Linked DNA regions of Anolis sagrei. The protein of the gene in region 1 purifies or fractionates together with the protein of each later gene. This does not show direct contact. Links are inferred from orthologs where the notes say so. Each region holds a gene or a part of one and is shown on either strand. Other genes may lie near its edges. The genes, in order: PPIE and AQR.

Region 1 (15,707 bases):
AACAGGAATAACACTTCCAAACCAGGAATAAAAAACGTTCAGATTTTGTTACATAGTGTAATGAGATCTAACAGAGAGCTGTAATGAACTCTTAGGGGAAGGGATGGATTCAAGGGGGTGGAAAACTAAGAGTTTTGGCATGTGGTTTTCATTAGCAATTTTTGTTGAGCTGTAGCAACTAGGCAGATTTATTTTCAAGAACTCCTTGTGAGGGACTCTGGATTGCTGGAAAGGTTCTGCAGTACATCACACTATAAGGATTCCCCCAACGTTTGGAACGTATGGTCCCGCCATCATGCCCAACTGAGGTCCCAACCGAAGCCAGCATCACCGGCAATGTCCTACCAGGCCCGGTGTGCTTCAGAATGAAGTTCTCATCATCAAACTTCTTTCCGTAGATGGACTTCCCTCCAGTGCCGTTGTGGTTGGTGAAGTCCCCTCCCTGGCACATGAACTGGGGGATGACGCGGTGGAAGCTGCTGCCTTTGAAGCCAAAGCCCTTCTCGTGGGTGCAAAGGCAGCGGAAGTTCTCTGTGGTCCAAAGCAGAAAAGGGGCACCGTTGAGAGAGCAAGGGCAGCAAGCACAAAAGCAGAGGGCCAAAGCCATTGGAATGTCTGAACACTTCTCACGTTCATGGAATGTCCACCAAGGAGGTTGCGTTTCCTCTGCCATGAGTCTCCAAATGGCAGCGGAAAGCTATATGACATCTCTTCCAGTTGCTATCTTGATAAATGTGGGCGTCCTCCCACTTTTATGAGATGCCACCCAAGAAGGGTAAGACACCTTTTTCAAGTAGGTAAAGTTTTCCCCTGACATTCAGTCCAGTCGTGTCCGGCTCTGGGGTGTGGTAATCAACTCTATTTCTAAGCCAAAGAGCCAGCGTTGTCCGTAGACACCTCCAAGGTCATGTGGCTGGCATGACTGCATGGAGCGCCGTTACCTTCCCACCAGAGCGCTACGTATTCATCTACTCACATTTGCATGTTTTTGAACTGCTAGGTTGGCAGCAGCTGGGGCTAACAGCGGAAGCTCACACCGCTCCCCAGATTCAAACCTGCGACCTTTCGGTCAACAAGCTCAGCAGCTCTGTGCTTTAACCCACTGAGCCACCGAAGGCTCTTTCTCGAGTAGGGTGCCATAAACATGGGATATGTGTTTGGACCTCCCTGACTGCTTTTCAAACATGTTTTGAACTCTCTTTCATTGTATTCTAGTTTGAGTTAACGGTATTGCACCAGACCTTGTGTCGTTTACACTGGGTTTCGTGTGCCCTTCTAGATATGGCTTCAACTCCCAGCAACCCTTTCCCTTGGCTATCCTAGTTAGGAGGCTGCGAGGGAATATTGTTCAACATGGAACCCCTGAGTGAGTCTCACTCTCTCAGCCTCAGAAAGTGGCAAACCTTGGCATGGTAAACCTGAGGTAGGGTTGTCTTAGAGTGGCCCTAAGTTAAAATAACAACAACAACTTTATTGTTATACCCTGCCACCATCTCCCTGAAGGGACAGCTTATATGGGACCAAATGTCCATAAGACAATAAACGAACAATCCATGAAACAAATACACAATTAAAATAAGAACATAATCATGTGGAGCATTTGTCCATTTTAAAACAAAGTGAATAGACATAAAAGTATAAAACATTAGCATCAAAACTCCACCCAATCAATACTCAAATCCGGATCCAGGGCTACTAAAATGGGCATGACCTGGCTATCAAAAGAGCTGGGCATGGGAAAGTGCAAACAGCAAACTATAGGGCCATGGAATTGGGCACTTGAAGACACACAATATCCAACAGCCAGAGGTTTTGCTTACCAGCAGTCATAGGTACAATGTCCGATCGCAGAAGGATGTTCAATCGGCCAGCTGGCTTGTTCCCAATCTTGATATCCATGTAAACCTGGGGGTTTGCCCTTGACTTCTTTGCTGGTGGCTCTCCCTAAAACAGGGAGAGATACAGCTTATTCTATGATAAATCTCAGCCAAGTGAGTCGGAGCCTAATTATCTGCCATGTAAGCATAGCACCCATGGCCACAAATAACCTACCCCAGAAAACCACTTGAGGACAAATAACTTTGCAACATAAAACACTGTGCATTAATAATATCCACTTTGCTACATTGATCTACAATCTATACTACATTGAGCTTTGACGTCAGCTACAGCCAGCCCTCCCACTAAGGGCATAGGGCCCTCATGACAGAATTTGTGATGTCTTTTACATGAGAGAACACCTCAATAGGAACTCTTCAGTCTTCCAACAGAATTCTGTGGTCGACTTCTGCCATGGAAGACCATGGAATGGCATTGGAGGACCTAGAAATGTCTAGAGAGAAGGGGTAAACTGTAGCTGAAGGATGTGTGACATCAGGCTGCCTAACCTCGGCATCTGTTATCCCACCACGCATTGTCTATATGGGCATGGAAACTATGCAGGCCAATCTGGAGGTACCTACAGGTTTGGCGGTGCTAAATGACTTCATCCAGCCCCTAAGAAAGAGTTGTGTGAAAATGAGCTCTAAGGCCGTGGCCAAAAGTGGAGTGCTAAAAGTGCAAAACCTACAGAACCCCAACTGCCCCTTACTTAACCGAAGGAAAGATGGCCACGCACCTCCTGGGCCTCTGACCGGGCTGGCTCTGCCCCTTCTTCCTCCACATTCTCCTCAAGCGTCTTTCCAGAGAATTTCTTCAGCCAGTCATCATCCGACCAGACTGTCAAAGGAAAATGGAAGGCAATGAGAAAACAGAAACGTTAATCAAGTGATACCACTATGTAATATGATTTTGGTCCAGGGCTATAAATGTAATTGCCTAATTGGTAGTAAAGGTAAAGGTTTCCCCTTGACATTAAGTCTAGTCATGTCCGACTCTGGAGGGTAATGCTCATCTTAATTTCTAAGACGATGTCCGTAGATGCATCCAAGGTCATGTGGCAAGCACAACTGAATGGAGCGCCATTACCTTCCTGCAGAAGCAGTACCTATTGATCTACTCACATTTGCATGTTTTTGAACTGCTAGGTTGGAAGAGCTTGGCTAACAGTGGGAGCTCACCTTGCTCCCCAGATTCAAACCGCTAACCTTTCGGTCAGCAAGTTCAATAGCTCAGTGGTTTAACCCACGGCACCACCAGGGGGCCCTATCATAAAAATATGGAAAAGGTTTATTAAACTGCAAAAACTTTACTTCTGCGGCACATCCTGCAGGATATTCTGCAGCAATGAATATCCCAGTCTCAACCAATTCTACAGATTGTGGCAGCCACAAAAACGAAGTTTCTGGAGTAGAACAACTGCTTTCAAAGTAAGTACCACACAATTAAAACGTATTTTCAAACTAGGAAGAGCATTTTTTTCCAAATTTTGTTACATAAGTATTTCTGGGATGTTTATACACAAGATGAAAAAAATCTTTGGAACCTTCCTATTCAGGTATATTTAACTCAGGATTCACAGACAGAATCTCCCCTGGTCCAAAAGTACACACAAACAGAAACACAAAGGTGAAGAACCATTCTTTCCTGCTTCTTGGCAGGGGGTTGGACTGGATGACCCACGAGGTCTCTTCCAACTCTATGATTCTTCCTGTCCCAATTGCATGGCTTACCTGGGCGAGAGGAGCCTTCCTTGATCCTCATCGGTTTGGCCAAGTTGACGCGGATTGTCCTCCCAAACAACTCAGACTCATTCTAAGGAGGGGAGAGGATTACTTTGAAATCATCATGTAATTCTCATACAAGCCCAACATAAGGTAGGTTAGATTTAGCATCTTAACATGAGTATCATGTAGGAAAACGGACTTCACTGTCCCGGATAAATGCAGCCATTTTACTATGTTGGCTCTTAAAGCAGGCAAAACATGTTTGTCCATACTTTCACTTTAGTCATTTTCATGCCCACATATTTCTCAGTGGACTACACTACTAATTTCCCTGCCCCTGGCCCTCTTTGTTGCCACTGGATTCTACGAGGGTTATCCAGAAAGTAAGGTTATAATTGAGTTGTTGTAGGTTTTTTGGGCTATATGGCCATGTTCTAGAAGCATTCTCTCCTGACGTTTCGCCTGCATCTATGGCAAGCATCCTCAGAGGTTGTGAGGTCTAGAACATGGCCCTATAGCCAGAAAAACCTACAACTCAGTGATTCCAGCCATGAAAACCTTCAATAATACATTAAGGTTATATCTATTTTTTAAAAGACAAAGAATGAATATATTTTAATAAAACTTACATGGATTGCAGCATAGGTATTACGTTATTTTCCCACACAATCACCATTTAGTTCAATACATTTTGTCATCAGTGGGATGAGTTTTTGATGCCTGTGTCATAGAAGTCTCCTTCTACCTTTTTCAGTCAGTTCATCACTCCGATTTTCACCTTGTCGTGGTTGGAAAAGTGTCTTCCACCCAGGTGTTCCTTCAATTTAGTAAACAGATGGTAGTCACTGGGTGTGAGATCGGGGTTGTGAGTGGAGTGGCTTAAAACATCTCAACCAAATGAAGTCAACCACTCTTGAGTTGCATGAGTGGTGTGCAGATGCACATTGTCATGAAGGAGATAGGCTCCCGCCGTCAGTATCCCATCACATTTGTTCTGGATGGCTTTGCGAAGTTTCTTCATGGTCTCACAATATATTCCGTACCCATTTTGTCACATGCTATCTTCTCCATAAACTGAAACGGTTTTGCCATGAATAGCAGCAGCGTTCATGCCCTTAGCATTTCAGTAGCGTATTACAGCACAAACTTTGCACTCGGAGGGAAATGGAATGAGGACGCTCATCTCTAACCTTCACCACGCCAGTCGATGAGCTACTGATGACTGGCACTACTTGTTCGCTTCCGCTGGCTTCCCGCTACATGGAAGTGATACCAACTTCCTACGAGAAATTTCCCCGCGAGAGCTACGTCCCTTGTAACCTTACTTTCCGGAGAACCCTCATACAACTGACATCCTCATTCTGTATTCTCTTTTTTTTAGCACATAAAAGTCAGACTGCTTAATTTAAAAATAAATCTTACTGGAACCATTCAGCTAGAACTCTGTATTGGAACAAGGGAGATTTTCTATGTGCTTTTTGCAAAACCAAAATGAAGGACTCTGTGCACAAACCTACCATCAAAGCGGAGTCTATAAAACAGATTACTTCACTTCTACCAGAAAATATTGTTAGGAATGAGCGGGGATTTCATCTTTCCACAAAATGAAATTCAGAAAATCTAAAGAGAGACGTACCATGTTGTCGATGGCGGCTGCAGCATCCTACAGAAGAAAAGAAGATATATTTTTACTGATAACTCATCATCCCTTATTTCAAGTTGCCCCCAAATACCATGCTTGGGGGTCACTGTGTTTTAGGTTTCCTTGTGCCATTTAAAGTTAAGGAGAGTCCTTCTTGAACAACAAGAAGTGAGATGAAGGCAGAACTGAGTTTACCAAAGCTTAGCCCACTCACCTTGTTCTCTGGGGCTCTAAAGTGCTATAGGATCCCTCTGCAAAAAATGTTTGGTTTTTGGGGTGCCAACATGTCAGCATTTCCTTACCTCAGCCAGTTCGAATTCAATGAAAGCAAAACCCCGATGCTTTTCTGCAGAGATATGAGAAAAGGATAATCAGTTTAGCAAACCTTATGGGCAACCAATAGACAACCAGACCTCCATGTAAAACTATTATGAGAAGCCTAATTTCATACTGAAAAAAGGCAGGTCAGAAAAATAACTACTGTTTTTCTTTGAAACATTTAAAAAATGTCTCGCTGAGGAGCGGGAAAGGTGTGTTTCCTGCTGCTCTGGAGACCAGGACAAATGGAGCAATGGATACAAATTGCAAGAACAGAGACTCCATTTAAAACATTAGAAAGTAGGGGGGACTCAGGGCGGCTTACAACCGGCACAATTCGATGCCAACAATTCAACATAGTAAAATATATAACAGCAACAATTATAAATAGTTAAAACATTCAACTAATACAATAACAACTAATAAAAAAAAGCCAATCTGGTGGCCAACGTTCGCCGAGTTCTGTAATCCACAAGTCCATTCAGCATTATCATAATGCTTTCCAAAGCTCTAGTCGCCATTGTCCTTGTCAGTTTGACAGATTACCCAAAGACCTGGTCCCACATCCATGTTTTTACTCTCCTCCTTCTCCTCTTCTTCCCCCTTTTATTCTCCTTCTCCACTTTCCACCTCGTTCTCTTCTTCCTTCCTCCTTTTGTTCTCCTTCTTTCCCCTCCTTTTATTCTCTTCCTCCTCTTCCTGTTCCCCCTCTTTTTATTCTCCTCCTTCTCATTTTCGCTCCCTCTTCTTCTTCCTCACCCCTTTTATTCTCCTTCTCCTCCACTTTCTGTCTCGTTCTCATCTTCCTTCCTCATCCTTTTCTTCTCCTTTCTATTCTTCTTCCCCCTTTTATTCCCCTCCACCTCTTTTCTTCCTCTTCTTCCTTCCTTCTTTTATTCTCTTCCTCCTCTTTTTCTTTTCTTTCCCCGTTTTTACTCTCCTCCTTCTCCTCTTCCCCCCTTTTAATCTCCTTCTCCACTTTCCATCTCGTTTTCTTCTTCCTTCCTTTTATTCTCCTTCTTTCCCCCTCCTTTTATTCTCTTCCTCCTCTTTCTCTTTCCCCTTTTTATTTTCTGCCTTCTCCTCTTTTCGCTCCCTCTTCTTCTTCCTCCTCACTTTTATTCTCCTTCTCCTCCACTTTCCGTCTCGATCTCATCTTCCCTCCTTTATCCTTCTATTCTCCTTTCTATTCTTCTGCCCCTTTTAGTCTCCTCCACCTCTTTCCTCTCCCTCTTCTTCCTTCTTTTATTCTCCTCCTCTTTCCCTTCTTCTTTCCCCCTCCCTTTCTTCTCCTCCCCCTATTTTCTCTCCCTCTCCTTTCTCTTCTTCCTTCTTTCGCCTTCCTTGTATTCTCTTCCTCCTCTTCCTCTTTCCCCCTCTTTTTCTTCTCCTCTTTTCGCTCCCTCTTCTTCTTCCTCCCCACTTTTATTCTCCTTCTCCTCCACTTTCCGTCTTGTTCTCATCTTCCTTCCTCATCCTTTTCTTCTCCTTTCTCTTCTTCTTCCTGTTTTATTCTCCTCCTCTTTCCTCTCTCCCTCCTCTTTGCCTTCTTCTTTCCCCCTCCCTTTATCCTCCTCTTTCCTCTCCCCCTTTTTCTTCTCCCTTTTCTTCTCCTCCCTTTATTTACTCTCCTTCTCCTTTCCCTTCTCTTTCCTCTCCTTCCCACCTTCCTCCTCACCTGTCTCATAATCCAAAGGGATCTGGATGTCGGTGATGTCTCCGAAGGGGATGAAAGCCGCGTGCAGCACCCTCTCGTCCACCTCCTCCGCCAGGCCGCCTAGGGAGACGGGGACAAGAAGAGAGAGGCCCCTTACGTCGCCATTGGGAAGGCAAGGAGGGCAGGCCTACAAGTCTAACCCTAACCCAGGCCCAAGAACTCCTGCCCGCTTGGCTCGACGAGGCGCCTTTCTGCCGCCGCCTCCAAGGTCTCCCCAGCTTTGAAAGCCGCCCCCTTCTCTTCCCAGTCTTTTCTCCTTACCCACATACAGCACCCTCTTGGTGGACGCCATTTGCCTTCCCACAATCCCCCTCCGACCGGAAACGGATTCCAAAAGCGGCCGGAAGGAGGAAAAGGAGGAGCGCGCGCACTGCTTTCTGCGTCAAAGCAGAGCGTCCTGCCTTTGAAGGTTTGGGTTGTTGTAGGTTTTTCCGGGCTCTATGGCCATGTTCTAGAGGCATTTTCTCCTGAGAAGCCACTGAAATCCACAAGCATGTGGACAATTTCAACAGAAAAGAGGAAACCATGAAAATGAACAAAATCTGGCTACCAGTATTAAAAAAAAACTCTAAAATTACAACAGCAAAACAACAGAGAGGAAACAATCAGGCACATCTAATCACCTCTCAACAAAGATTACCCCAGGCACCAAATGCTAATTAAGGTGGTCAGTTGAAAGATTCACACCTAGCTCCAGCAGACCTTTGTCCCACCCTGGTCATTCCACAGATATATAAACCCATTTTCCTACTTCCGACAGACCTCACTACCTCTGAGTATGCTTGCTGTAGATGCAGGCGAAACGTCAGGAGAAAATGCCTCTAGAACATGGCCATATAGCCCAGAAAAACCTACAACAACCCAGTGATTCCGGCCATGAAAGCCTTCAACAATACATTTTTAGGTTTGGTTTCTCTCCTCCCACTTTTTGGTTATGTGTTGTCGAAGGCTTTCATGGCCGGAATCACTGGGTTGCTGTGATTTTTTTCAGGCTGTGTGGCCATGTTCCAGAAGCATTCTCTCCTGACGTTTCGCACACATCTATGGCAGGCATCCTCAGAGGTTGTGAGGTCTGTATTGTCGAAGGCTTTCATGGCTGGAATCACTGGGTTGTTGTAGGTTTTTTCGGGCTATATGGCCATGTTCTAGAGGCATTCTCTCCGGCGGGAAGGTAATGGCGCTCCATGCAGTCATGCCAGCCACATGACCTTGGAGGTGTCTATGGACAACGCTGGCTCTTCGGCTTAGAAATGGAGATGAGCACCACATCCCAGAGTCGGACACGACTGGACTTAATGTCAGGGGAAACCTTTACCTTTACCTGGTAAAACAACAATCTTGTGCGCAGCTATTCTCTGCTTTTCCATTTCACATTAGCATCGGACTCACGTGTGCGTGGTCGGACTAAGGCCAAGCAACTTTACGATCACATGGCAGGTTTGATTAATTTTAGAAGCGCTCTGGCCTTAAGAGCGTTTGTCTGTATGGAGAGGCTGCCTCTGCAGATAAAGCCGGAGCTGAGGATTATGTGAACAACACATTCAAGGAGGGTTATGTAGTGTATAAGTGTCTGGGGAGGGTTTATAAAGACTTAAAATAGTGTATAACTACTGAAATAAGGAACCCCCGATGGTGCATTGGGTTAATGCGCTGAGCTGCTGAGCTTGTCCGAAAGGTTGCAGATTTGAATCCAGGGAGCAGTGTGAGTTTCCGCTGTCAGCCCCAGCTTCTGCCAACCTAGCAGTTTGAAAACATGCAAATGTGAGTAGATCTATAGGTACTGCTCTGGTGGGAAGGTAACGGTGCTCCATGCAGTCATGCTGGCCACATGACCTTGGAGGTGTCTATGGACAACGCCAGCTCTTCAACTTAGAAATGAAGATGAGCACCATACCCAGAGTCGGACACGACTGGACTTCATGTCAGGGGAAAACCTTTACCTTTACCTACTGAAATGATATATAAATATTAAAATAATTATTTTGCGGATTTTCACTTTTCACAGGTGGTTCTGGAACATAACACCCGCAATAAGTGAGGGAACACTGTAATAATGTTTAATGTTTTATCAAGGGAGGGACAATTTTGATGTTTTATACTGTTTTTTATCAATGGCATTGAATTGTTGCCAACACTGTGAACCTCCCTGAGTCCCCTTCAGGGTTGAGAAGTGTGGCATACAAATACCGCAAATATAATAAATAATAAATTCAGATCAGGGCCAACTACATCTCCCAATAAAGGATTCCCCCTGGCAGTAAGCAGTCAGACCTTGAAGCTGCAAGGATATTCAAGGCTAATGAAGGTGGCTAATTACAACATTCACACCTGCCTCCAACAGACAGGTTATTTCCTCATTGTGAGCATTCCAGATATATAAACCCCAATTGCCTAGTATCCAACAAACCTCACAACTTCTGAGGATGCCTGTCATAGATTTGGGAGAAATGTCAGGAAAGAATGCTTGTGGACCATAGCCAGACAGCCTGGAAAACTCACAGCAACCCAGAGATTCCAGCCATGAAAGCCTTCAACAACGCATTGCCCTGAAGCTTTCTTGGATGGAGGACAATCAGGGACTTAATCTTTCCTGTTTGTTTATTCATGGATTTAATGTAAATATGTTCTCTCTAGGAATCCCAGGTTCTCCAGTGTGACTCAATCTTCATCCTGGAGGATCCAGGGATTTCTAGAGGACAGTTCACTAGTTCCTCCAGTGTGCATCTATGTTCAGCTTCAATTGTAAGTTGACTATAGACTGTTTCCCAGACTGTAGTCTTCCATGTGTTTTCAAACAGAGACTGTCTTGGTAGCTATTACTGATGAAATTCGTCATCAGTTAGACCGAGGCGGATCAGCGCTATTGGTACTCTTGGACCTCACAGCTGCATTTGACACCATGGACCATGACTTGCTGATTCATCGATTGGCTCCGTCTGGTGTACGAGGTTTAGCCCTCAAATGGTTCAATTCATTCCTCCGCGACCGGAGACAGAGGGTGGAGTGGTCAGGCCAAAGCTCTGAGAGCTCCTGCCTTTGCTGTGGAGTTCCCCAGGGTGCTATCCTCTCGCCCCTGTTATTTAACATCAACGTCCGACCACTTGCTGGACTGGTGCGGAGCTTTGGCATAGAGTGCTACCAGTTTGCAGATGATACCCAGCTACTCTTGCGTCTCGAACCTGGGACAACCGTGATTCCTGAGAACTTTAAGCTGTGTTTGGAAGCAGTGATGAGTTGGTTACGAGCAAGACGAATAAAAGTCAATCCTGCAAAAACTGAGATACTCTGGCCCGGCCAGCCGCCAGAATTAACCCAGTCTCTGCCTGATTTCGACGGGGAAGCTCTGGTTCCGTCTGCCACTGTTAAAAGCTTTGGGGTTGTGTTGGATTCATCACTGACGATGGAGGGCCAGATCACTGCCATAAGTAAGCAGGCCTTTTTTCATCTTCGCCAGGCAAGGAAATTAGCATCCTACCTTTCGGTAGAAGCATTGGCAACGGTAATCCACGCAACAGTCACCACTAGGTTGGACTATTGCAATGCCTTATATGCTGGCCTTCCGAAGTCAATGACCCAGAAGATTCAGATGGTCCAAAATGCGGCAGCCAGGTTGCTAGCGGGATCATCTATAAGACCCCATATTACACCGATTCTGTAACAACTGCATTGGCTACCAATAGAACATCGGATCTCTTACATGATACTGATCCTGACATTTAGAGCTCAAAATGGCCAAGGACCTTTATATCTTAGGGACTGCCTCATTCCTTTTCCCCATCAGTGGTCACCTCGATCCACCCAGGAAAATCTCCTATACATACCAGGTCCTAGGGAGGCACATTTGGAAGCTACAAGGCGTAGAGCTTTTTTGATCTATGCTCCAATTCTGTGGAACTCATTGCCTCCATATATTAGAGCAATGTCAGAGTTGCAACCTTTTGTAAAGGCGCTCAAGACTTGGCTGTTTGGTTGTGCATTTAAGTAATTGGATCAAATTTTGCCATAGTCACTGCTGAATGTTTTTATGTTGAATGTTTTATATTGTGTATAAGCTATTTTAAATTGTAAGTCGCTCGGAGCAATTTGGTGGAGAGCGACTAATTAAGAAATAAAGTGATGATGATGATGAAATTTGGTGCCCAGAATCCTTGATTATTGATCAAGGGAGCTGAGGTTTCTGAGAATTGAAGTGCAAAACATCTGGAGAACCCCTGTATCCATTCCTAGAGATATTCTGTCTAGTAAAAAAACCAAAACATTTATTTGTATTCTTCACTTTCACCAGGGTCCTGTGCTTCAAACCTCTGAAAATGTGGAAGACTGACTGTACCTCTCCCCCCCCCCCCCCATAATGTTTATTAAACATTTACATGAGGGTGGGGGGAAAGGGGAAGAAAAAAATGGGAAAATAGATTTGTTATTGGTTAGTTGCATATTTACAGTCTCTATTATGCCGCAAGGAGAAAATAAAGAGGGTGGGGGTTGTTGGGGTATGGGGGGTTCCTTTTACAAAATTGTCATCGTTACAACTAAATCTTCATCTCTATTTCTTTAACACATATTTGTTATAATAGTGAAGATTCTAACAACTTTAAGTCCATTGGTTGTCTCTTCAATGTGTCTTCTCACATTGTTTTGTGATCTTCATATATTCTTTTCCAGTTCTTCAATAGAAAATGAGCATAATTTTTCATAAGATCGTTTCACAAGAAATCTATTCTTAAATTTTATAATTATCATGCTTTTTCTCTATATTACACCAAAGATAATTTTATATAACCAGTCCATTTGTATAGCCCATCTCAATCTTAGGCATTGTTCAAAGTTCAAAATCTCTATTTCTTTTTTCTGTTCTTTGTGTGTTTCTGCCTGCTTTTTCTTCTGAATAATCATCCTTTTATCTTGTCCTTCTCTTTTAAAGCGTTAGATGTTGTATGTGTGTGTTGTCGAAAGCTTTCATGGTCAGAATCACTGGTTTGCTTTGAGTTTTCCAGGCTGTAAGTGCATTTTCTAGAAGTATTTTTGATGACGTCTATGGGAGGCATCCTCAGAGGTTGTGAGGTCTGTTGGATATTAGGCAAGTGAAATTTATATATCTGTGGAATAATGTCCAGGGTGGGAGAAAGAACGCTTTTGTCTGTTTGAGGCAAGTGTGAATGTTGCCATTTGCTAACTTGATTAGTATTTAATGGCCTTGCAGTTTCAAAGTCTAGCTGGTTGCTGCCTCGGGATCCTTTGTTGGGAAGTGTTAGCTGGCCCTGATCGATTCTTGTCTGGATTTCCCCTGTATGACACTCTTGTGCAGTAGTTAAAATGAAGGAATTTGTTGCCACAAAATACAACAAGCCCCCTAGTGGTGCCGTGGGTTAAACCACTGAGCTGCTGAACTTGCTGACTGAAAGGTTAGCAGTCCGAATCCAGGGAGTGGAGTAAGCTCCCACTGTTAGGCCCAGCTTCTGCCAACCTAGCAGTTCGAAAACATGCAAATGTCAGTCGATTAATAGTTATGGCTTCTGCGGGAAGGTAACGGCGCTCCATGCAGCCATGCTGGCTACATGACCTTGGAAGTGTCTACAGACAATGCCGGCTCTTCGGCTTAGAAATGGAGATGAGCACCCCCCCCCCCCCCCCGAGTTGGACACAACTAGACTTAATGTCAGGGAAAACCTTTACAATTCATCAATAAAGATCTATATAGTTACTAGTTTCTCTGGCTGTACGTAATCTGAAGAGGTCCAATGCCTCTAAAGAGCAGCACTTAAGAGAGGTTACTTCTCAGTACTTTAACTGGGAAATGATAGTTTATTTGACACAACATCCTGCTAGATAAAACACATGATATTTTTAATATTTAAAATAGCATTTGTTTGATGAATGTAAGAAAAGGAATGTATTTGTGCAACAAGGATGGCATGGAGATTTTGAATCTCTCAACTAAGGTTCACAAATCCCCCTATGATTTCATAGGCCTTTGGGTTGGTTGGCTTTGCAGATGAACTCAGACCCAACACCATAAAGGCATATTGGTTTCCCGATTCTTACTATTCTGACCATTTCGCTTTGAGAATTATAGAGTAAGCACCAATTGTGTTGGTTCAGAGGCTCATAAAACAGTGTATATGAGCCTCTAAACCAGGGGTTCTCAAACTTTTTAAACAGAGGGCCAGGTCACAGTCCCTCAAACTGTTGGGAGGGCCGGATTATAATTTGGGAAAAAAAATGAATGAATTCCTATGCACACTGCACACATCTTATTTGTAGTGCAAAAAACACTTAAAACATTACAATAATTAAAATGAAGAACAATTTTAATAAATATAAACTTATTAGTATTTCAATGGGAAGTGTGGGCCTGCTTTTGGCCGATGAGATAGGATTGTTGTTGTATGCTTTCAAGTCATGTCAGACTTAGGTTGACCCTGAGCAAGGGCTGGGTAAATGACCTTGGAGGGGCGTATTCAGCTCCTGGACCTTAGTTTGCAGACCCCTGCTCTAAACATTCAGTCCTTCTGCTGCTAATGATGCTTTTCAGACAAACCTCATGAAGAACTCACCCTGCCCTGAATGGAGAGCATCCAATGCAGACTCGTGTTGCAACCTAATCAGAGCTGCAAAGGGCATGTCTACACAGAAGCTTCAGTATTGTTTCCATGCAGTTAAATGAACCATTAAGCACTCGTGACTTGAACCCAGGTCATTCAAAGCTGTGTGGCACATACTTTGCGGCTGCTTTGAGAGAAAAAAGAGGAAGAGAAGGCAAGCCATTTCAGGAAATGCTTCTGTTTATTGACAAACACTACTCCAGGCTTTGCAAACAGGATTATCCCATTAAAACCAAACAAAATGTCTGGTCAGCCAAAAAAACATTTCAAGGTCTTGGTCATGGAAATGCAAGGTAGTTAATCGGAAGCATGGTATATTTTGACCCAAAGGGTTTTTTTCAGTGTGTGTTTATGTATTTTTGGGGAATTTTTGGTGCAAATAAGGCATATAAGATGATTTTCACGCAGTGGAATACTGTGAGTGATGTTGGTGTGAAATGTAAAAGACACATTCATTTCTACACGTCTTTATCAGAAAGTTTCTTTGAGGTGCGAGACATCTGGCTTTTGACAACCTAGAAAAGTAGAAAAGTAACACTTTAAAGAGCTGGGTTATAATTTCAAGGCAATCCTTCCCAGTTTCCCACCCGTCACACAGTTCAGTCCATCATTGTTTCAACTCCTACATGGTTTGGGATGATCATTAAGAAAATAGGGGACAAAACTCCATCCTGATTTTTAACTATAAGACTTTTCTAAAGTGATGTTTCTCAAGCATTTGGTTTTCTTCTTGTGCATCAATAGTTGCCATAATTTTTTTTTAAATGGTGATAGTCAAACAAAGCATCCATACTCTCATGCAGAAACTATTAATATAAGTAAGGCTCGATGCAAACATGTTTGCCACAACTTTATTCAACTGCTTTGAGAAAAAAGGGACAAATTGAGAGCCATGAGCTGAACGGAGCCTGGGTCACTTACCAGCCTCCCGGGTTCAAGAGGTAGCAGCAACGATGCCCACTTTTTGGGCGGCTTCTTTCTTCGCCTGGTGGGCCTGCAACACAGCCACGGCCTCCTCCACCTGAGAAAAGCAGAAATCCACAAAAAGGCCAAGTCAGTGGGGCTTAAGTAATAATAATAATAAAAACTTTATTTGTATTCCGCTCTATCTTCCCAAGGGGACTCAGGGTGGATTCCAACATAACAATGGCAAACACTCAATGCCTACATGAAACACGCAATACTAACATAAAATCCCAGAAAAACCCCACATATGAAAGTAACATTAAAACATCAGTAAATCAAACTACATGTAGCCAGACAAAATTCTATAGTAACAGAAATCTAAAGAAAACATTCAACAGCCAGCAAGGGTTCACAAAAGGGTATGGGTTGGTTATGGAGTCAAATGAGGTCATTGGGCTAGCGTGGAACAGAAAAGCCCAAATACAAATATTCTCAATCAGAGGCCCGGCAGTGATCTCTCTACCATCTAACCCCCCTCCTCTCCATATGCTATGAGGAAAAGTAGGTCTTCAGTTGTTTTTTAAAGGAGAGGAGGAAGGGGGCTAGCTTTATTTCTTTAGGGAGAGAGCTCCAGAGGTGGGGGACGACCACGGAGAAGGCCCTCTCTCTTGTTCCCACCAGCTGTGCTTGAGATGGGGGTGGGACCAAGAGCAGAACCTGCTCCAATGACTGCAGTGGTCGGGATGGTTTATAAGAGGAGATGCAATCGGACAAATAGCCTGGACCCGAGCCATTTAGGCCTTTAAAGGAAATGGCCAGCACTTTGTATTTAGTCCAGAAGCAGACCAGCAGCCAGTAGAGCTGCCACAACATGAAAGTGGATCTCTCCTTGTATGGAGCTCCTGTTAGCGATCTGG
Region 2 (15,286 bases), on another chromosome or scaffold:
TCGTTAGAAATTACACCAATCTGGAATATCCCTAAGATCAACTTGATCTTTACTATGCAATGAATTCATCTTTCAAAAACAAAAGTTATCTTACTCTTATTTTAAGACAGTATAAAACTGTACCATTTGTGCCTGGCAACAAGAGAGAGCAACTCATTCATTATAACAATTTGTCTGATGCTGCTCCTGCTTCTAGTGTGGAACTTTTTCAACTGTCCACGACTAGTTTCCAACCAGAGAAGTCTATTATTTAAAAGGCTGTGCAAGATCTCAGACAAGGCATAGTGACAGCCAGTAGCCAACCTTCTGACATCCAATAACACCTTAAGTGGGCAATGCTGAAGTTACAAATGATGGATCAAAGTTACTGTTGGCAATAATTGAAATCTATTACCTCCCATGCTGGCACGTTCTCCCTGAACTTTTCATTCACCATACAACAGATTGACATCAAATAAGCTTTGCTGGACACCTCTGGAGAATAATTCATCCACAAGTAATTTTCTAGGTACTGGCTGTGAACAGTAAAAAGACAAAAGAGTTACCATCCATATAATATATCACCGTCAGGGGATAGGAAGCATAATTATCTATAAGACCTATCAGCATGATTTGTGACTGGCTTCCATTGTTACCTATCCAACACAAGGCACTACAATAAAACTTACCGAGGCTATTTAAATCAATCTAAGCACAAATGGCAGATGAATCAGCCCTCTGGAAGGTTCCGTTTGTTAAAAAGAAGTATTATATCTGCTTGTACAAGCTTCATATTAGGTTGAACTCTAATTGATACTGACTTTAGGTGGGAAGAGAAAATGCATCTGCACTACATAAGGGACAGACTTCAACACACTTGCTGGAAGACTCTAAAGACTGCCTCCCAAGACAAAGAAATCTGGTTTAGACAAATCATAATTATGCCAAATAAAGCAGTAGAGAGGAGATAACTGTGCCAACACCACAGACATTTAACAAAAGGACTAAAATTGAGCACTGGTTCCACAATGCCAGTGAAAATTATTAAAATTGAGAGGCTACAAATAAATCAGCCTAGAATGACTCAAAATGATTTCTTTTGTGTTTTCAGAAGCACATTGGTAGTATTGCTCTATACATTTAATTATATAACAACAATGACCTTCCCCTCTCCCCAGCATTAACTGACTATAAGGTGAAGTGGTTTGAGAATTGGACTATGATTCTGGGAGATCAGAATATGAACTCCCATTCAACTGTGAAAGCCCACTGGGTACCCTCTCTCATGTCACACTCTTTCAGCTTTAGAGGAAGGTAATAACAAACTTCTGATGAAATGTTGTCAAGTTAATGATACAGTCTTCATTAGTGAGAGCCAACTTGAAGTTATATGACTGCATTTATTGTAACAGATTTATTACATTGATCCTGGTCTATGAAAAAATGTACATAAAATAAACATCTCTGACTATGCGTAATAACACGAGTCCCTGGGTTACGAATAGGATAGTCCCAAGCACAAACTTTTTATCGATAACTCATTTAAATTCCACTTCTCTTTCAGGTTATTATCACCACCAGCACAGACTGGTTTAGAGAGAGAAAATTACTCAGAATTTTGGGCTGCCCTCTCCTGAGCAACAAAACTTGAATATTCAACTGAGAAAGTGGGTTTATATGCACAAAAGTTTGTGTGAATTAAATCAATTACAGGCAGTCCCCAACCTATAAACATCTGAATTAAAATACAACCCTCAGTGACGAACAGGGGCAAGGCAACAGGAAGTGAGAGGAAATCTGCTCCCCGGAAGGGAAATTCACTCCTGTAAGCATCATCATGGGAAATGGGATTCTCCATTGAAGTTTTCTCACCAATCCTTGTTTCAATGGCAACCCAAAATTTTCAAAATCCAATTGTCACGAACAGAGAGTGAGGTGAAATCTTTCGAACAGGGGCACAGACAGCAAAACAAACATTTCAGGGGTGCTAACCCTTCCCTATGCTATTCAAAATAGAAAAATGACAATCAGAGGCGCAGAGGTACTACAACTCCCATTTTTTGCTAACCAGCATGGCCATGATGGCTATACAGAGCTAACAGTAGATTTTACATTTTAGGATACAGCTTACTAAAATAATGAACTACAATGCTTCACACATTGTACATTCTATTCTTAAAAACTAATAAAATCAGTTGTCAAGACATAGAATACAGACAATATTTTCTAAAGATTATCTTAGTTATCCCTTCAACAACTCTTCAAGGTATGTTTAATACTATTATTTCCATGCTGCAGATGAAGGTTAGGAAATGGTGGCTTGCAGAATTCATTTACTGAGTGTGTGGCTAAGGACATATTTGAACCTGGGACATTCTAAACCATGATAGATAACTTAGAACACTTACCTAAATTCTAGGAGCATTATTTTCCGAATAGCAAATCTGAAATCAAAAACAAATAAACACAGATGAAACCTTCTCTGGTCTACATCAGTTTTCCGTAATTTGTACTCAAACACAAATGCCTTGATTAAAAAGTCTGTGACCTTTGAACGCGTGTCTCATGTTGCAACACTGTCATGTCATCTCATACACTTCAATGGCTTAACTGTTGGGACAATTCCATTCTACAGACATAAGCTGGAGTGAAAAGTCTCAGGAAGGAATTGCACCAAAACAGACACAAAGTTTTACAAAATATGTGTGCATAAAAATAATTAGCATAAGTAGTTGCACAATCCTCACCACCATCATAGGCATGTTTGATGAGGACATGAGAGATAACCTTCTCGCTGGTTGCTCCCAAGCTGTGGAGCATCCTTTTATCTTTTAATTATATTCCAATGTTGTAGACTTCTGTAATTTACCAGGTACTCCAGACAATTTGACAGCATGCCTTGGAGTCTGTGGAAGCTTTAAGATGAGGAATAGGGCTTTTCCAACTACTAGACTGGGCAGAAGCATGCAACCAAGATCCATCCGGGAAGGCATCACTCATAGGTATGGGAGTCTTACTGTATTTTAGATTCTGTTGAACAAAACAGAGAAATGACTGGAGGGGCAAGGAGTCAGAAGGCATTGCTAAAGGCACGCTACAACCTCCAACATCTTTCTGTCTGAGGAGGCTGCCTCCATCTTCCCAGTCTAGTCATAGGGCCAGTTTTGTTCAGATATGGTCCTCAGCTTAAAGCTCCCAGAGACACCTTCCAATCTAACATTTTACATTTGCATCTTAAACATGTCCAATTGTAGTATTCCCTCCCTTTTGCCAGATGGTAATTTGGGTGTGCATTTTGGAAACTGTTCAACCGTCAAGACAGCTACCCTGACATTTTTATCATACTAAGCAATTTCAACTGCACATTACAATGGTTATGGTCACAACATCATACAATTAGGTAGTTCAGAGAATGCAATTTAGGATTTTTTTTAATGGAAACATTTCTTCAACACAAATGTGTAAGACAGTTAGGGTACATACTTTGATCTAACAATTTCTTTGCCATAGACATCTTCAATAACCTACAGAGAGAGAGAGAGAGAGAGAGCTTTTTTTAGATAGGCACTAGGATGGTTGCTTTAGTAAGATTAGTATCTTTCCAATGATATGGAAGTAGAAGAAACGTCAATAAAGTTGAAACAATTTACAGGGAAAGAACAATAAAGGACAGAAATATTTTTAAAGCCCTTCTTTTAAAGCAAACCATCTTCAATGTATAATAACTTTAACAGGTATTCATATTTTTCTGTATTTTAAATTGATTTGACTGCTTTTAATGGTGATAATTATTCCTTTTTAAAATTGTACTATGTTAAATTCTATGTTAATGTTTATAGTCCCTGGGTTTTAAATAGTATATTGTATTGCTTTTGCCACTATTCACTGCTATGAGTTTCTTTCAGAGAAAAAAGTAGCATAGGATAATAACAATAATAGAAAGTATGAATAATGATGATACATTTAGAATTATAAAAAAGCAAACACAGAAATATTTAAAACTGCATTAAAACATCAAGAAAAGCTAGAATCAAATCAATATTCTTAATTATCTTAAAAGTAAACATAATTTTAACAGGATTCCTATTAATGTCAAGCATTTACAATTAAATACCGAACAATATATTAAATTTAATAATATATTAAATTATTACCTTTGATTCAAATGGTAGCTTTTTCTTGACATGTGGTGCCCAGTACTTATTGGCCAACTGTAAGGAAAAAAAGACTATGGCATTGAAATATGTCACTGTATTGACTTAATATTAAAATAGGCAAACAGAAATCCAAACAAGCTTTTACCATATTGTCAAAGTGCTCTAAATTGTCAAAGTGAATAAATACCATGTCAATTCTAGCTACTCAGTCTAGATTGAGTCGCTAGAATTGAAGGAAGGTACTGATAAGCTGGAATGTGTCTAGAGGGTGACTACAGTTATCAATGGTTTGGAGAATAAGAACAGCTTAAAGAGCTGGGTATGTTTAGCCTGCAGAAGAGAAGGGTGAGAGGAGACCTGATGGTTATGTATAAATATGTGAGGGGAAGTCATAGGGAGGAGGCTTGTTTTCTGCTGCCCTGGAGACTAGGATGCAGAACAATGGCTTCTTCAACATTTCTTCAACACAAATGTGTAAGACAGTTAGGGACTACAGGAATTGAGATTCTGAACTTCCTAACTGTGAGAACTGTTAAGCAGTGGGACTCTCTGCTCTGGAGTGTGATGGAGGCTCCTTCTCTGTAGGCTTTTAAACAGAGGCTGGATGGCCATCTGTTGGGGGTGCTTTGAATACGATTTTCCTGCTTCATGGAAGGGGGTTGGACTGGATGGCCGACAAGCTCTCTTCCAACTCTATGAATCTATGACTGCACTAGTTCTCAACCTGTGGGTCCCTAGGTGTTTTGGCCTAAAACTCCTAGAAATCCCAGTCAGTTTATCAGCTGTTAGGATTTCTGGGACTTGAAGTCCAAAACATCTGGGGACCCTCAGGCTGAGAACCACTGGTCTAGAGAGAAAGTTTGCATCTCCCCACTTTGAACATGTTTGCTTGAATAATATTATATCTCACATTTTTCTAATGAGTTTAAGACAGTGCAAACTGCTCTCTTCCAGTTTGTCCTCACAACAACCCTGTGAGGTAGGCCAATATGAGACTGACCGCCCTAAAGTCATGCAGTGAATGTCATGTTTATGGGAATCTGAACCTGGTTCTCCTCCTCTAGTAAACAAACTTTATTACGGTCGATGACCAGAACATAACAGGGGGACCCTACTTTAAGAAACCCCTCTACAACTTTGTGGACATTATGTCACATGCCCCTTTGACATTTGGGTGAAAGTCATCTCTCTTGTAAACACTAGAATTTCCAGGATAACAGGAAGGAAACTAAGCAAAAATCCACTGAAGTAAAATCTATTTTCTGACCCAGGCCTTAAATATCTTGGAATCTCGGTGTTAATGTTGACTTTTGTGGAGAGGTGGCTGCCAAGGTAGTGGAAATGGTCGACATTTTCTAATGTTACAGTATTAAGCTGTATTTCTGGCATTGGGGAGAGATTGGCTGGTGACTGCTGGAAAAGCACTTTGGTTTTCTCAATGTTCAACGACAGGCAGAGCTTCTCATATTGACAATGAAATATAACACCACCTGACCTCTGTGAGTGCAGCATTTTTCCAAATGAAACACAGAGTGTTTGAGGACCAGGACATCCGTAGGGATACCAAGGTGCTTGTCTACAAAGCTATTGTCCTCCCAACCCTGCTATATGCCTGCGAGATGTGGACTATCTACAGACATCACATGCAACTCCTAGAACGATTCAATTTGCGCTGCCTCCGAAAAATCCTGCAAATCTCTTGGGAAGACAGGCGGACAAATGTCAGTGTGCTGGAAGAAGCAAAGACCGCTAGCATTGAAGCGATGGTCCTCTGCCGTCAACTTCGCTGGACCGGCCATGTTGTCCGGATGCCAGACCACCGTCTCCCAAAACAGTTGCTCTACTCCGAACTCAAGAACGGAAAACTGAATGTTGGCAGACAGGAAAAGAGATTCAAAGATGGGCTCAAAGCCAACCTTAAAAACTCTTGAGCGCTCAGCTGGAGGTCAGCTGTGACCAGCAGTGCTGTAGAATTTGAATGGCGTTCAAAGACCTTTAGTTAAATAAGGCCAATGTGATGTAGGGGCTTGAGCATTGGACTCTAACTGTGGAAACTAGGGCTTAAATCCCAGAATATCTACAGTGCAGACCAGGCATGGGCAAACCTCGGCCTTCCCTCCGGGTGTTTTGGACTTCAGCTCCCACAATTCCTAACCGGCTGTTAGGAATTGTGGGAGTTGAAGTCCAAAACACCCGGAGGGAAGGCCGAGGTTTGCCCATGCCTGGCTGATGTTGAGGCGCCGCCAGAGAGGTCTCAAGGTCTCCTTCCTGAGGGCCAGGCGGAGATGCTCACCTGCGTCACGAACTCCGCGTTGATCTGGGAGACGGTGGGGGCCACAATCTTCTTGGGAGGAGGCAGAGGCGAAGCCGCCGGCGCGGGAAACGCTCCCGCCACGGCTCCCGTCGGAGCCGCCATCTTCCCTCTACGATTCTTCCGGGCGGGAACCTCCCCCTTCCACGCTCTACGCTTGGACCCGCCCCTTTCCCCCTTCGCCGAATAGCATCCCGCGCCTTGCCTGAAGCGGCCTCGCGTACTTCCGGTCCCGCAAGTTTATGCTCCCCTCCTCCTTCCGCCTTTCCTTGTTGCCATGGCAGCGTAGACGGAAGTCTTGACTCCTCAAATGCCTGAAGCGCTTCCACACAACTGAATGAAATCCCACATTTTCTGGATTGATTCTGGGATATATAGAAATGTGGACTCAGGTAACCCAGTTCAGAGTAGATCTTGTGGGAGTCTCTGCTTGTTATAAAGCTGTGTGGAAGGCCCTTAGGGTGCGAATTCTTTGCCATGTTCCAATACATTGAAATCCTGGGAGCTGTAGTTTCATAGAATCATAGAATCATAGAGTTGGAAGAGACCTCATGGGCCATCCAGTCCAACCCCCTGCCAAGAAGTAGGAATATTGCATTCAAATCACCCCTGACAGATGGCCATCCAGCCTCTGTTTAAAAGCTTTCAAAGAAGGAGCCTCCACCACAGAGAGTTCCACTGCTGAACGGCTCCCACAGTCAGGAAGTTCTTCCTCATGTTCAGATGGAATCTCCTCTCTTGTAGTTTGAAGCCATTGTTCCACGTCCTAGTCTCCAGGGAAGCAGAAAATAAGTTTGCTCCCTCCCCCCTGTGGCTTCCTCTCACATATTTATACATGGCTATCATATCCCCTCTCAGCCTAAACATGTCCAGCTTCTTAAGCTGCTCCTCATAGGTCTTGTTCTCCAGACCCTTGATCATTTTAGTCGCTCTCCTCTGGACACATTCCAGCTTGTCAATATCTCTCTTGAATTGTGGTGCCCAGAATTGGACACAATATTCCAGGTGTTTAGCCTTCTGTGCCAAATTCACCAAACTACAAATCTCAGGATTGCATAGCCTCTTGAGGCATGACGGCTTCCATGGCTCTGAATATGGCTGGTGCTTTAGCAAACTACAACTCTCAGGATTCCATAGCATTGAGTTGTGGCAGTTAATGTGGTGTCAAACGGCATTAATTCCACAATGTAGATGCACTCTAAACTCTACCAGAGCTTCTGCTATCCCAGTCTTCCTCTCAGGGTGCATCTGCACTGTAGAATGGATGCAGTTTGACACTGATTCCATGGTTCAATGCTATTTAATCCTGAGAGCTGTGGTTTTACAAGGCCACGCCAAAATACAACTCTCAGAATTCCACAGCATTGAGTTGTGGCAGTTAAACTAATATCAAACAGCATTAATTTCCATGGCTCAATGCTATTTCATCCTGAGAGTTGTGGTTTTACAAGGCCACGCCAAACTACAACTCTCAGAATTCCACAGCATTGAGTTGTGGCAGTTAAACTAATATCAAACAGCATTAATTTCCATGGCTCAATGCTATTTAATCCTGAGAGTTGTGGTTTTACAAGGCCACGCCAAACTACAACTCTCAGAATTCCACAGCATTGAGTTGTGGCAGTTAAACTAATGTCAAACAGTATTACTTCCACTGTGTAGATACACCCTAAACTAAGGCAGAGCGTCTGCTATCCCTGTCTTTCAGGGTGCATCTACATTGTAGAATTGATGCAGTTTGACCCCGCTCTAACTGCCATGACTCATTGCTATGGAAGCTGTAGTTTTACATGGTCTCACCAAGTTTCAACTCTCAGGATTCCATAGCATTAAGTTGTAGCAGTTAAATTGGTATCAAACTGCATCAATTTTGCCAGTAGGCTGTTAGGAATTGTGGGAATTGAAATCCAAAACACCCGGATGGCCAAAGTTTGCCCATGCCTGTCCTAAACTCTACCAGAGCTTCTGCTATCCCTGTCTTTCACTCAGGGTCCACCTACACTGTGGAGGTAATGCAGTTTGACACCTCTTTAACTGCCATGGCTCAATTGCTATGGAATCCTGAGAGTTGTAGTTTTACAAGGTCTCGCCAAATTACAATTCTTGGGATTGCATAGAGCTGAGCCATGGCAGTTAAAGCATTTCGGATCATAGAACATTTTTGATAATGCATTTTGGCTGTAAAACATGATGGATATTATGGATCCTTCTTTGGAGGCTCCTTCTTTGGAAGTTTTTAAACAGAGGCTGGATGGCCATCTGTCGGGGGTGCTTTGAATACAATTTTCCTGCTTCTTGGCAGGGGGTTAGAACAGGCATGGGCTGGTTAGAACAGGCATGGGCAAACTACGGCCCTCCAGGCGTTTTGGACTTCAACTCCCATAATCCCTAACAATAGGTAGAAGCTGATTGTCCCTTAGAGGCCAAATACTCCAAACGGTTTCTGAACTAGTGGAAATGGCTGTGATCAATGCTCCCCTCTTGTGGGCATTTGGTGTAGCAGCAGATGCTGTACAATTTCTTTTTATAATTTCTTTTAGAATATATATATATATATATTGTCCATCTTATATCAGTTCTCATATTAGCCTAAAACTTATATTCTAAATTAGACTCTCACTTTGAGATTCTTGAAACAAATTCTCTAAATTATATATGCATTACATGGTGTTTAAGGGATGTCATGAATATGTATTGTCGAAGGCTTTCATGGCTGGAATCACTAGGTTCTTGTGGGTTTTTTCGGGCTATAGAGCCATGTTCTAGAGGCATTTCTCCTGACGTTTCGCCTGCATCTATGGCAAGCATCCTCAGAGGTTGTGAGGTCTGTTGGAAGTAGATCCACAGATATATAAACCCATTTTTCCTACTTCCAACAGACCTCACAACCTCTGAGGATGCTTGCCATAGATGCAGGCGAAACGTCAGGAGAAATGCCTCTAGAACATGGCTCTATAGCCCGAAAAAACCCACAAGAACCTAGTGATGTCATGAATGCTTTGCATTATAAAACAGTATCAAATATTGACAAATGCTGACAAACTTTTTTTTTTCAACATTTAGAAAGAAATCCTTTTACATTGAAATGTTTTGAAGAGGGAAAGGAAATGATTAGGAAAATGATTAGAAAAATGCATAGGAAAAGATTTCTCAGGAATGGAAGTATCAGGGAAGGAACTCAAACTGCCATATAATGCAACAAGCGTAGACCCATATAATGGAGTTCTATACAGTTAAACTACATTATATGGGTCTTCATTGACCATATAATGCAGTTCCTAACCTGAGTCCAGTTTGAGTCCTCCTTTTTGACTCACTGAATGAATAGGAACATGATAAGTCTTTCCTTATATACCTTAAGTTCTCTTGAGTCTACTCTAGTTGGGACCAACAGTTGCATTTGGTGAAAGAGTTCTGTTCTTAAAGCTACTTGACCTGGTTTGCGTTTTGGGAAAAAGAAAACAGGGAACCTTATATACACTGTTGTCGTTCATTGTCATCCAGTTGACTTTGACTTATGGCAACCCTATGAATGAAAGATCTCCAGGCCCAGCTGAGGTCTTGCAAATTCAGGTTTGTGTCTTCCTTGATTCAGGGCATACCTACCCAGGCAATATAACCTGGGGCCTATGAGAATCTACATCTTGGTATCTACATGACCCACATGCCTTTTCCCACACTCAGTGCAGGATAAGGCTATTTCATGTGGTTCAGCCCCATTGAACATCAAGCACAAAGTAGCTGCACGCAATAACATCCTGCGGAAACTTACTGTCAGTGCATGGGGAGCAGACCCAAAATTAATAAGAAAATCAGCCGTGGCCTTGTCTTACTCACCTGCTGAGTATGCCTGCCCTGTTTGGCATAAGTCAGTTCATGCGAAGCAGGTGAACATAGCACTGAATGAAACATGCAGAATAATCACAGGATGTCTCAAACCTACACCTGTTGATAGACTCTACAAGCTAGCTGGTGCTGCCCCCTCCCCGCCATGTGCAACAGGAAGTTGCTGCTAATTGTGAGAAAAATATGTTTGAACACTGTGAAGCCGGGGGGAGCTGCGCATGCGTCAAATAAGATAGACGTGCCTAAAAGAGCTCCCTAACTGCAAAATAAATAAAGCTTACTTTAAAAAGCCCAGGAAGACCGTAAACCTGTCTCCAACTTGGACCCGGTCGGGGAAAAGGAGGAAGAAAAGCAGATCGAGGTTTGAGTGACTGAAACTTGAATCCTCATAGAATAAATCAGAAGACCAGCGAAGGAAAGAACTGAACGTGAGTTCCATAATGACGGAGGGAGTGGAATGGGGGCAGAAGCTGGACCAAATATTACAAACATTGAATGAACTTAAGATAAGCACTGAAAGCTTAAGGAAGGGGAATGATGAATTAAAAGAACAAGTTAAAATGATTAATACCCGGCTGGGATCAATGGAGTCAAAGGTGCAGCAGTACGAAGGAAAATTTATGGAGGTGGAAGAGGAGACTAGAAAACAGAAAGAGGAGATAGCCAACTTAAAACAACATTTAGAAAGTGCAAAGCAAAATCTTCTAAACAAGATTGCGGACCAGGAAGATCGGTCTAGAAGGGCAAATATACGTCTGAGAACAGCAGGGCAGGATCTTCAGATAAATGACAATTTAAAACAAAATATTGTTAGTTGGCTGCAGACCTTGACCCAAATTATACCAGACGATATAGAAAGAGTGCACTGGGCTTACAGAGGCAGAAAAAAACCCAGAGACATTTTGATCAAATTCTCAAGAGAGGCTTTGAAGGAAAGAGTGTATAATCAGCTCCGAAAAACAAAAGACCTTACCTTGGCAGGCAAAACGGTCTGGCCTCTCCTGGATTTATCATCAGAGACATTAGATAAAAGAGCACAAATGAAGGAAATTACAAGAGTCCTGGAGGAAAAGAACCAGCGCTATACTTGGGCTTTTCCAGCCACCCTAATTGTCTATAAAGATGGCAAATTATTTAAAGCTACAGATTTGGCTAGTGGTAAGACCATGCTTAGACTTTTGAGATTTTGTACAGAAGGGGGAGTGTCGGATGAGACAGAGGAATCAGACAACGAAGAGGCCCACAGAAGTCTCAAAAGAAAGAAGGGGAGGAAAAAGGCCAAGGACACTCTACAGCCAGCTGGACTGATAACATCAACAGAGCTGGAAGCTGCAGACAGAGGCGAGCGGACTGAGAGTTTATTTGTTATTGGAGACTCGATGAACAGGGAAGGAGAGCAAGGACAAGATTTACAAGAGACTATAGATTTAAGAAATTTGAAGCAAATGGACTTGGATCAAATACGAACTTTAGAAAAACAGTTGAGAGAACTGAAAAAGCAAAAGCTGAAAGAGGAATCAAGAAGAATGGAGACAAGATCCAAGATGCAAGCATAAAAAAAAAACTTTTGACAAACTGGGTTTAAAAAAAAAATCTTTTTTTTTGCAGGAGGGGGAACTGGAGAAGGGCAACGCAGCCACCAAAAGGACTCTGGGAAGGGAAGAGAATATAACTCTTTCAGATCCTTCTCTGATGAGAGAAGGGGAAGCACTGGACTCAGAGGGGAAGGGGCACATTGGGGATCCAGGGAGGGGGGCAAAAAGGGTGAGAGGAGAAGAAAGGAAGCTGAAGAGACAAGGGGGAGATACAAAAATGAAATCAAACAAAACAAATGTGTGATATTTCTATTCTTGCACTAAATTTGAATGGAAATGCAGATCTCAAGATTCATAGATTGTTGAAATTGGCAAGGGACTGTAAAATAAATGTGATGATGTTATCGGAAACTCATAAAAAGAGGGGGAGGGATAAATTGATTAAGGATAAAACATGGAATAGAATTTTTGAATCTAGGGGGACAGGGAACTCACGAGGGGTAGCGATTCTTATTAATGAAAATGTTCCATTTGAGGTGCTTGATGTTCAAAAAGATAGGGAAGGCAGAACTGTATTCGTGAAAGGGAAGATAAATCAGGTTAAAATAACATTAGCTGTGATGTATGCACCTAACAGAAACACAAAACAGTATATACTGAATACAAAAAAGAAGCTGGATAATTATGCGGAAGGGACATTGATTTGGGCAGGTGATTTCAATTTGGACTTAACTACTAAAATTAATAAAGCAGTAAATGTAAATAAGCTTAATATGGTGGATGCACATGCAAATCAGAGTATTAGAGATACTTATTACTCAGCAAGACATAATAAATTTAGCTGTATAGATTATATTCTAATAAACAAAGCAAGTAAAGCTCAAATAAAGAAGGTAGAAAGGAAACCAATATTTTTGTCGGACCATAGTCCCCTGATTGCAACTGTGGGATTGAGCAATGAGATAAGACAAAGAATTTGGAGGTATAATTCGGTGGTAATAGGAAAAGATGAATATAAAAGGAAGCTTCAGGAGGAGATAAAAGAATATTACAGAATAAATGATACTGGAGAATTATCTAAAGATGTGGTATGGGACTCATTTAAAAGTGTATTACGAGGACAATGTATTAGTATTGAGTCCCATATAAGGAAAAGTTGGAGAGAGAAAAGAGAAAAATGTATAAAAGAAATCGAATTAATACAGGAACAACTGAGAATAACAAGGAGAAAAAATATAAATAGTATTCTAAAGCAGAAAAAGAAAGAATTGGAATTAATGGATGAGGTGCAATGGAATAAAATGAGACAGTGTGTGAGACAACGAATCAATGGATGGGGTACAAAATCAATGAAACAAATGGTGAGATATTTAAAGAGGAGAAAGAAAAAGTCATGCATAACAAAACTTAAAGACAAAAATGGATTGGTGAAAGAAGGGAGAAAGGAACTAGAAAACATAATGAGAGAATTTTACAGGGATTTGTACCAAAAAGAACAGGTGAAAAATGAAGAAATAAAAATTGGGAATAAAGTAAATGAGGAGGATAAAAGCATGCTAAACGAAGAAATTACACAGGAAGAAGTAATTCAGGTAATTAAAGGACTGAAACAATTTAAGGCACCGGGTATAGATGGATACACAGCAGAATTTTATAAGACCTTTATGCATGAGTTGGTACCATATATGACAGCAATGTTTAATGAGGTATATTTGAGAGGTATTGTCCCAGAAACATGGAAACTTTCAGAAATTATTCCAGTTTTGAAGCCAGATAGACAACCAGAGCTCCCAGAATCATATCGTCCGATCAGTTTAGCAAACCAAGATTATAAGATATTTATGAAAATTATAGCCAATAGATTGGAAGTTATTCTACCAAAGATTATAGGAGAAGACCAATATGGGTTCGTTAAAGGGCGGGGAATCAATGAGCCAATAAGGAATGTTGTCAACGCGATTTGCCATTCGACAAAAATGAAAAGAAAACTGTCAATTCTAAAGTTAGATGTGTACAAAGCTTTCGATAAAGTAAACCATGTATATTTGTACAGATTATGTAAAGAACTAAATTTGGGAAATAACTTTTGTGAAATGATCAAAAATGTATATAGGGAAAATACAGCTTGTATTAGAGTGAATGGACAAAGAACGGAAAACATTCAAATTGAAAATGGGACCAAACAGGGGTGTCCGTTATCTCCAATGTTATTTGCTCTGGCAATAGAACCCCTAGCACATAGAATAAGGACGGATGAAACATGGGAAGGGTATAAGATTGGGAGGAAGGAGGAATTGAGATTGAACCTGTATGCGGACGATGCAATAATTTTGACACAGAGACCAAGGGAAATGATTAAATCAATTCAATTAACTTTGAGGGAGTTTAAAAAAGAATCAGGGCTATCAGTTAATATGGAGAAATCAGAGATATTATTTATCAATACACCCCCAAGGGAACAATTGGAGATAAGGAAGGAATCAGGGTTAAAATTGGGTATTAAAAAGATTAAGTATTTGGGAATCTGGATATATAAGACACTTGATAAAATAATAGATGGAAATTACAGAATGGCATGGAAGAGAATGTTAAAACAATTGAGTAGGTGGAAGAATAAAAATTTGAGACAGATGTCTAGGATAAGGGCATTGAAAATATTGATAATTCCAAAAATTATATATCTATTTCAGGCTCTCCCAGGAATCCCTCCCTTAGCAAAATTAAAGGAATGGGATAGGAAACTAAATTATTGGGTTGAAGGGGGGAAAAGACCAAGAGTAAGGAAAAAATTGAGAATTGCAAAAGAAATGAAAGGGGGATGGGGCTGCCCATGCCTAGAGCTATATAGCGATGCCTTCCAAATTGAAAGAGCAATAGAATTACAAGTGACAAATAAAAAATGGGTGAGATTTGAAAAGGAAATGAATGGAGTTAATTGTGAAGAAATAATTTTTAGAAAATGGGATAAGAGAAATATAGATAAATTAACAGGACCAATGAAAGGAACAATGCAAGTGTGGAAGAAATGGCAAGGGAGAATAAGTAGTTTAAAATCCAAAATGTCAACAGTATGGATAATTAACAAGGATAAGGAATCAAATATGAATAGAAATATCCAGATATTGAAGGAAAAAGGAATAGAGAGAGTAGAACAATTATATGACAGAGAGGGAAAGGTAAGGGAGAATAAAATTAAACAATGGCTTGGGCAAGAAAACTGGTTACAGATAAGAGCAATTTGTGCATATTGCAAAACAAAAGAAAATATCAATATGGTTAAGAGAGAAGATACCGCCTTTGAAAAGATAATAAGAGAAAAAGGGGAAGGAAAGAAGGCACAGGCCAGCAAAATATATACAATGCTAATAGAGGCCGATGGATGTACAATACAGGACTTGAAAACTATGTGGGAAACAGAGTTACAAATCTCGGAACAAGAAATGAGAAATGTGGTAGAG

The links.
Region 2: the proteins of PPIE (region 1) and AQR purify together in Homo sapiens (affinity purification with mass spectrometry; 5 studies listed by BioGRID and IntAct, counting the BioPlex papers as one, with this or other methods). This does not show direct contact. The link is inferred for Anolis sagrei from reciprocal best matches to the Homo sapiens genes PPIE and AQR.

What each region holds. Positions count from the first base shown.
Region 1 is NC_090034.1:84,713,865-84,729,571, forward strand, and holds the start of PPIE (peptidyl-prolyl cis-trans isomerase E), read right to left. Parts: upstream 7,643-15,707; 5' UTR 7,575-7,642; coding exon 7,544-7,574; intron 7,343-7,543; coding exon 7,244-7,342; intron 5,594-7,243; coding exon 5,550-5,593; intron 5,269-5,549; coding exon 5,242-5,268; intron 3,694-5,241; coding exon 3,612-3,693; intron 2,719-3,611; coding exon 2,618-2,718; intron 1,945-2,617; coding exon 1,821-1,944; intron 532-1,820; coding exon 346-531; intron 1-345. Other genes in the region: PABPC4 (polyadenylate-binding protein 4), read right to left, coding at 14,819-14,905. UniProt on the Homo sapiens protein: Involved in pre-mRNA splicing as component of the spliceosome. Combines RNA-binding and PPIase activities.
Region 2 is NC_090021.1:294,768,134-294,783,419, reverse strand, and holds the start of AQR (RNA helicase aquarius), read right to left. Parts: upstream 6,601-15,286; 5' UTR 6,553-6,600; coding exon 6,430-6,552; intron 4,191-6,429; coding exon 4,134-4,190; intron 3,504-4,133; coding exon 3,463-3,503; intron 2,424-3,462; coding exon 2,388-2,423; intron 516-2,387; coding exon 395-515; intron 1-394.